Linked DNA regions of Arabidopsis thaliana. The protein of the gene in region 1 interacts with the protein of each later gene in a pairwise test. Each region holds a gene or a part of one and is shown on either strand. Other genes may lie near its edges.

Region 1 (4,328 bases):
ATTGTAACAGAGAGGGGGATACTTGCGTCACCAGCAGCAGGTGACTTGTGAATTTGTTGTGATAAAGATCACATTAATTTAAATAAAATCAGCTGTTCAATTTGCGGAATAAATAGTTGGCGAAAATTGTGCTTATAAATTTTACAACGGGATGATGAAGTACAATAAGCAAATCAATTTTGTGGATAAAGAAATGCATATGATTGTCTTAAGTTTGATTTAATGGTGTAGAATAAAAACATATAAAGACAAAAGTTGGTTGAAGTGTCAAACAGAGTGAACTCCGTAAACAGCCTCTTTTTCTTCACACCTTAAGAAACCATAGACGAAAAAAAGTTTACATATTTTTAGAAAATTTTCGATCTTTAAAAAATTTATGAGGAGATTTGTTAACCTTACATAATACTTGACAAGAGAATGATGAAATTTTTTTAGACAAAAAAAAACACGTTGAAAAGTCTCATATATGATGTCACTGATTTTTAGATCAAAATGTTGACACCCCAATTTGATCGGGAAGCAAGAAAACCCGGAGAACAGATATAAAATTAAATTGTTCTATTCTACACAAAACCTTGGGCATTTGTTAAATTTTAACTATTTACGGTTTATTTTAACCATCTCCACTGAGAATTTATCGTTACGTTTATGGAAATGACTACACACATCTTCGTTTTTCTAATCATTTATAGGTGTGTACTTGTTTTTCCTTCAAATTTTCATTGTTTCACTTGAAAAGTGCACTCTGAAAAATAGAAAGTACACTGAAAATTCATTGTTGTTTTCACTTAAAAAGTGCATACTGGACAACAAAAAACCTCAACAAACAAACGATCAAACAAGAGAGTGAGAGACCTAAAGATATTTTTTTCCACTAGCGCTTCAACAAAGAAAAAAGAAGAGAAGCTTTCATTTAAACGTGGTACGTTGAAGTATACATGATGATGTAATAAAGTACTACAATGACTCAACAACGCCAGCTCTTGGAATGGATATTAGTGGGAGAAGAAGATCCAACAACTTTATCAACCAGCTTCCTCAATCCCTTCTTCTTCTTCGGGGTCTTCTTTTCCTTATCCGTCTTATCTTCTCTCTTCCTCTCTTCTTCAACTTCTTCCTCAAACTGTGAACACAGCTTAAGCACTTGCTCCTCTACATTATTAAGTCTCTCTAGCAAAGTTCCTTTCCGCTCAGTCTCCTCCCTGACTTGTTCCATCGAACGGCAGTGTACCTTCCCTATGCTCCTCGGTGACGACAGATCCATTGACGATGGCTGAGTCCCACTAGATGGAGTCGATGGGCTCGAGCTTCTAGGCGAGCTTCCTTTCATCTCCTCTAACTTCCTCACCATGAAATCAATACGATCCAATCTTGAAAGTATCGGTTCTTCTACAACAGCCATTATTGATAACAAACGACAACGTTTCCAGAAGCTTTGGTTGTGTCGGAATAGTTGAAAGACAGTATCGAAAGCAAAACTCGTCTTCTCTTATTAATAGAGTAATAATTGGAGATTGAAAGAACACGAGCTAGGCCACGTTTAAATATTGCAGAGAGAGTTCATGGAGACTCACACGTGTTGTTGATAACACGTGGTGGTTCCAGCTTGCGGACACCTCTTCTGTCTCATACTCCAACATTACCCATTCTTCCTTATCTAATCCCTAAAATTTCTTTACATTATGTCGGGAACAAGATAATGTATTTTGGATGCTTGTATAAAAACATTATCTTATCCCAAGTACATTTACCCTAATTTATTTATTTCTCCATAAACTATACAATGTTTTACGAGGTGTATGCGAAACAGTGAAAGCATGTCCAATAATTTATTTTGAAGTAGTCGTCATGCATCTTCATTCCTCAACATCACCATGTCCATTCCTTAAATTGATCATATGATAAATGGGCCTAAAAGGCTCAAACAAATAAGCCCATGTAAATATCCATCGATTTATTCAGGCGAAAGGGTGAAACATACTGTAGTTCTAAAAAATTAATGGTGTCGTCAAAGAAACCCAAGGAGAAGAAGGCGAGGAGCGATGTCGTCGTCAATAAAGCGAGTGGTCGGAGTAAACGCAGCTCCGGTTCCAGAACGAAGAAGACGTCGAACAAGGTTAACATTGTGAAGAAGAAGCCGGAGATTTACGAGATCTCAGAATCATCGAGCAGTGACTCTGTGGAAGAAGCAATAAGAGGCGATGAGGCGAAGAAAAGTAACGGCGTCGTGAGCAAGAGGGGTAACGGAAAGAGTGTAGGAATTCCGACGAAGACGAGTAAAAATCGAGAAGAGGACGATGGAGGCGCGGAAGATGCTAAGATCAAGTTTCCGATGAATCGGATTCGGCGGATCATGAGAAGCGATAATTCTGCTCCTCAGATTATGCAGGATGCTGTATTTCTTGTCAACAAAGCCACGGTATAGTACTAATTAGACATATAAATTTAGCTTGAGGAACTTAATTTCACATGGTTTTTGATGAATTTGGGAGTATCAATTGCTAGTCAGTGTTAATTGGGCGTTATAATCTCGCAAATTGCTACAGTAATGAGATTGTTTCTGTTAATTAAGCCGGGAATTAACGTTATTGCTTCATCTCCATGTGTGTTTGATGAAACCGTAGTTACTGTGCTTGATTGTCATAGGTTTAGCTTTTACATCCAGAACTTGTAGACACCTAACACATGAGAAAGTCCTTATATATGATTTAGGTTCATATTTTCAAAGCTTAAGTGATGAGTGTTTAATTTTCCTGTATTGGAACTTGGCATTGTTTTTTCTTTCTTTTGATTTCATCTTGTGTTCATCGAAATTGATGTTCATTGCGTTTACAGTACATTAACTGGTTTTTGTGATTGAAGGAGATGTTCATTGAGCGGTTTTCTGAAGAAGCTTATGATAGTTCCGTCAAGGACAAAAAGAAATTCATCCACTACAAACACCTCTGTAAGCTCTAATCTCGTCCCTATTTGCCAATATCTGGTTACCTCAATACTGAATCCCATGTCGAAAATCTCATGCTGCTGCACCAATTGCTGAACTTAGGATTTCTGGCTTCTGCACAAGGGCCAGTAGTTAGTCTTAGGAAGAGTTTAGATAATGAGTTAATCCGTTCGTATCACTTGCAAGATTTGTTGCACTCCTAACATAATTGATGACACTGTCATTTCTACTCGTTGGCAGCATCCGTAGTGAGTAACGACCAGAGATACGAGTTCCTTGCAGGTACTTAATAACCTCTGAAGTATTCGTTTTATGAGTTCCATGTGGTTTACGAACAGCATTTTAATACCTGTAATATCTTGAATGCAGATAGTGTTCCCGAGAAACTTAAAGCAGAGGCCGCGTTGGAGGAATGGGAAAGAGGCATGACAGATGCAGGCTGAAATAAATCCGGTTGGAATCGAACTGAACCATTTGGATTCAAATTTGTGTCCCTGTCCTGGTTTATACTTCATAGGTTCCATCCGCCCGATCTTCACCTTTCTTATTAACCACTACTGAGATTGCACATATTTGATTTCTAGAATGTATACATTTTTTTTCTTGTTTCAAGTTAAAATTTGTAAGAGTTGTCGGAATTCTAATATCTTTCTTTAGTATCTATATATACATTTTTGCAGCCATTTTGTGAAATAAATTTTGTAGTTGGACTTATTTACAATGGCTGCCACTGGATTTTGATGTTTGTATTTGATAATTAGAAAGAAAATCTTCGAATTAAATATTTGACATTTAACAATCTTTCCAAAATCTCTCCACATTAACTAAACAGAGACAAAATTACAAAATATTTAGACAATGATTCATAAACATATCATAAATAAGATCAACATTAATAAAATAAATGGTTTTTTTTACTGGACGGGTTTGACAGGACGTTACTTAATAATAATTGTAAACTATAAAATAAAAATATTTTATAGTTAGATACAATTTGTAAACTTTTATATATACTAACATTAAAAAATAAATTGTTTCCGCGGTGTACCGCTGAGTTAAAATCTAGTTATAATTATAGGACAATTGGTCAGAAAATATTTAGAAAATATTTTTACCATAATTATTCTTACTAATCAAATTATAATATTAGTAAAACAAGCCAATTATCAAAAAAAGGTTTTTAAAATCATTCTTCTAGACCAATTTGAAAAAACTTTCCACATTTTCTTTTCTTTTTACACATTTTATAATTCTGTTATAAAATAAATAATCCAAAATAAGAGTTTGGGGGTAAAACTAAAAATTCAAATAATATGATGGGTATGAATAAAAATTAGGGTGGGTCCACCAGAAGCAGCGACTGAGAGCAGCTCTCAGCCGGGAA
Region 2 (3,960 bases), on another chromosome or scaffold:
TTAATCATATGCTATTTATTCTCACGAAGAAACTTTGAAAACCTAGTTTCTATTACTACCACTTTTATTGGACTCTCAAATGATTGGGTAGCTAACTTGTTTTCAAAAATGGGGTTTGATGTTTTATTTGATGTCTTTTTTAACATGATTTTAGGCCAAAACCTCAATTTGTCTATGTAATAACATCAAGATAACAAACTAAAACGAAGTGGTTTTTTTTTTATTATAAACTTGTCAGCCAAATTTATCCAATCGGCTAAGATAAGTAACTAAAAGTTTATATAGTCACTAGTCAGAGATACTAACCAAATTTAGGAAAAGCAATATCCACATTTTAAAATTTAAACATAAGGGACACGTGTGGATATCGGTGACTCAAGATTTTACATGAATTATTTTAGTAGAGTCGTGTGTACCCCGTGAAGGTGATGAATTACAAAGATTTCAGCTTTTGCCGCTATCAACATAGTTATAAATTGTAATATTATTTTTTGCTGTGTAAATTATTTTCTTAGTTCTTGCTTAGCATGAATAAGTATATCATCCAATGTATACAGAAGATGAGCTTTCTTACACAATACTATATAGTAAGATAAAGTTTCCAGAAGTGATAACTAAAACTTGTAACTCAACCATTAATACTCAACAAAACGCGAACTCTAAAGTTTAAATGAATTCTTACTTAGCAATATTTTTAAGCTAACTATGAATATAACATCCATACCTCAAATTAAATCAATCATAACATATATGTTACTAATCACATCCATATATTGCTTAGGCCTTAGGGTATAAGGCAAATACTTCATTCTTATAAAGCAAATTACTTTCCAGTAAAAATGAGACAAATAAATAAATGTGTATCACTATTAAGTATCATTTGTTTGTAGTAACACCGAATAATAGCGTTTATTTTCTTTTAAAAAATATCTCTCTAAATCTAGAATTAATAAAATATTATTTTACTTTCTTAGTTGTTTTGATTAAAAAAAATGAAGTGATTAGATATAAGTATATAACATCACGAATTTTTTTTTGCGGATTGTATTTTCTTGATAATTTTGATTCGGAAGTTATAATTGTGGCTTAATGAGTTTACCATTTCTTTTTTTTTTTTTTTTTTTTTTTTTTTTGAGTTTACCATTTCACTTCACATATATTACTGTGTTCTGTAATTTTGGCCAAATCAACACTTTAATATTTTGTTTGTAGAAAAACGTATCTTGAAAAAAGCCAAACACGGTCCACGTTAAAAGAACCAATATATTAAAGGCCTTTGTTTCTTCTCTGGTTTAACACTCACGTGAAAATATGCAGTGAAAAAGAGAGTTTTTCTATAAAGAGTGTTAAAAAGGACAAAAATATACTTTAATAAAATAAATTTTAATTAATATTCATGTCAAAAACAAGAGAAATTTAATCAATACTCCAAAAAAACGTTAAAAAGACACACAAGTCGAATGGAGTTAGTTTTTTTTTGACGTAACATCCTATGTTGTCGTCTCTGCCACGTCAGAAACCTGCTGTAGAAAAAGACCAGAGACTGCTAAAAAGGTAAAAAAGTAAAAAAAAAACCTGCACACCGCAACGGTCTAATTTGTTTTTACTTAGTTAGCAAATGACCAAAACACCCCTGTCGTTGAACGAAAAAGAGCGATTCTTCGTAGAAAGGTTTTAAGAATTTAATTAGATTTATTAACCACCCTTGATTACTGCTATTTATTTAAATTCTTAAGGTCAAAGGTTAGACTAAAACCGCATCCTCCAAGGTCATTAAATACAAATTTTGTTTCCCTTAATGACAAAAAAAAGGATTGTAAAACGCCGCAACCGCCGTTTCAATATCCTATAAAAGTCTCTGTTCTATTCAGAGTCACTCTCTTCACTTACATGTTTTGCTCTGCTTCTCTCTTTATCTTCTTCTTCATCTTTTGTCACTCTTTTCTTCTGCTCTAAACTTTTTCTTTTCGCTGCAAAAAAAAATTCCCAGGAATATTTCTTAAAAGAAATTTCATCCCTAAATAAGAAAAAAGCATCTCCTTCTTTAGTGTCCTCCTTCACCAAACTCTTGATTCCATAAGCATATATTAAAAAAGCTCTCTGCTTTCTTCAACTTTCCCGGGAAAATCTTCTTGTTACAAAGCATCAATCTCTTGTTTTACCAATTTTCTCTCTTTATTCCTTTTTTGCCCTTTACTTTTCCTAACTTTGGTCTTTATATATAAACACACGACACAAAGAAGAACACACATAAGTTAAAACTATTACAACAGTTTTAAAGAGAGAGATTTAAAAAATGGAGACAGAGAAGAAAGTTTCTCTCCCAAGAATCTTACGAATCTCTGTTACTGATCCTTACGCAACAGATTCGTCAAGCGACGAAGAAGAAGAAGTTGATTTTGATGCATTATCTACAAAACGACGTCGTGTTAAGAAGTACGTGAAGGAAGTGGTGCTTGATTCGGTGGTTTCTGATAAAGAGAAGCCGATGAAGAAGAAGAGAAAGAAGCGCGTTGTTACTGTTCCAGTGGTTGTTACGACGGCGACGAGGAAGTTTCGTGGAGTGAGGCAAAGACCGTGGGGAAAATGGGCGGCGGAGATTAGAGATCCGAGTAGACGTGTTAGGGTTTGGTTAGGTACTTTTGACACGGCGGAGGAAGCTGCCATTGTTTACGATAACGCAGCTATTCAGCTACGTGGTCCTAACGCAGAGCTTAACTTCCCTCCTCCTCCGGTGACGGAGAATGTTGAAGAAGCTTCGACGGAGGTGAAAGGAGTTTCGGATTTTATCATTGGCGGTGGAGAATGTCTTCGTTCGCCGGTTTCTGTTCTCGAATCTCCGTTCTCCGGCGAGTCTACTGCGGTTAAAGAGGAGTTTGTCGGTGTATCGACGGCGGAGATTGTGGTTAAAAAGGAGCCGTCTTTTAACGGTTCAGATTTCTCGGCGCCGTTGTTCTCGGACGACGACGTTTTTGGTTTCTCGACGTCGATGAGTGAAAGTTTCGGCGGCGATTTATTTGGAGATAATCTTTTTGCGGATATGAGTTTTGGATCCGGGTTTGGATTCGGGTCTGGGTCTGGATTCTCCAGCTGGCACGTTGAGGACCATTTTCAAGATATTGGGGATTTATTCGGGTCGGATCCTGTCTTAACTGTTTAAGAAATAACTGGCCGTTTAACGGCGTTTAGTGAAGTTTTGTTACCGGCGACGGCGAGGATTAAAAAAAAACGGCGATTTATTTTTTGAATGAAGATTTGTTAAATATATTAAACTTTTTTGTAACTTAATTAATGGTGATTTTATTTTTAAATAAAACTAATGGTAAATGGTGAACTTTTTGGCGTTAGCCGTTAAGTAACGTCTGTATATGAACGGCGTGGAGGCAAAACACGCACGAGTTTCTTCACGCTTTACTACTTTTCTTTCTTCTTTTGGTCTTTTGACGTATCACGTGTTGTCTCACGTGACGAGGAATCACCGAATTTGTGAAAAGCTTTGGTTAATCTTTCTTTTTATTGGGTTTATTTGACAAATAGCAATATTAGCAAACCATAATTGTTCTACTTTTGGAGCAAATGTTTTAGAATTACACGTGGGGGAGAATCGAATCCTGGCAAGTGTCTATGCAAAAAAATGAATTTGATTCATACCAACTCATATTATTTTGAACTTTAAGAAAGCTACATGTGTGGAAAAACTTCTATAATACAGTAGTACTTTAACTTTTGTTCTTTTTTAACTCTATAGTAACTTTTTCTATTTCCGTTTTAAGTCTCTATACCTGTGACATGTCTTATAATGGGCAGCTTTTTTATTGACAATTTCTATTTTCATAGAGCATACATTCCTATATACGAACAAATTAAAATCAAGTCGGTCTAGTCGAGGAATAACCATTATTAGAAATGTGATCTAACTAATCCAAAAGCTAGCTCAAAAGTCAAAGATTGCTATATCTT

What was found. Proteins that work in one complex are often made in the same cells at the same time.
Region 2: the proteins of NF-YC10 (region 1) and CRF1 interact in a two-hybrid assay, tested with the Arabidopsis thaliana proteins (one large-scale study listed by BioGRID).

Annotation. Positions count from the first base shown.
Region 1 is NC_003070.9:2,472,582-2,476,909, reverse strand, and holds NF-YC10 (nuclear factor Y, subunit C10), read left to right. Parts: upstream 1-1,781; 5' UTR 1,782-1,999; coding exon 2,000-2,419; intron 2,420-2,862; coding exon 2,863-2,947; coding exon of another isoform or gene 2,948-2,958; exon of another isoform or gene 2,959-3,184; coding exon 3,185-3,226; intron 3,227-3,313; coding exon 3,314-3,387; 3' UTR 3,388-3,745; downstream 3,746-4,328. Other genes in the region: AT1G07985 (uncharacterized protein), read right to left, coding at 968-1,402.
Region 2 is NC_003075.7:6,794,130-6,798,089, reverse strand, and holds CRF1 (cytokinin response factor 1), read left to right. Parts: upstream 1-1,691; 5' UTR 1,692-2,296; coding exon 2,297-3,160; 3' UTR 3,161-3,460; downstream 3,461-3,960.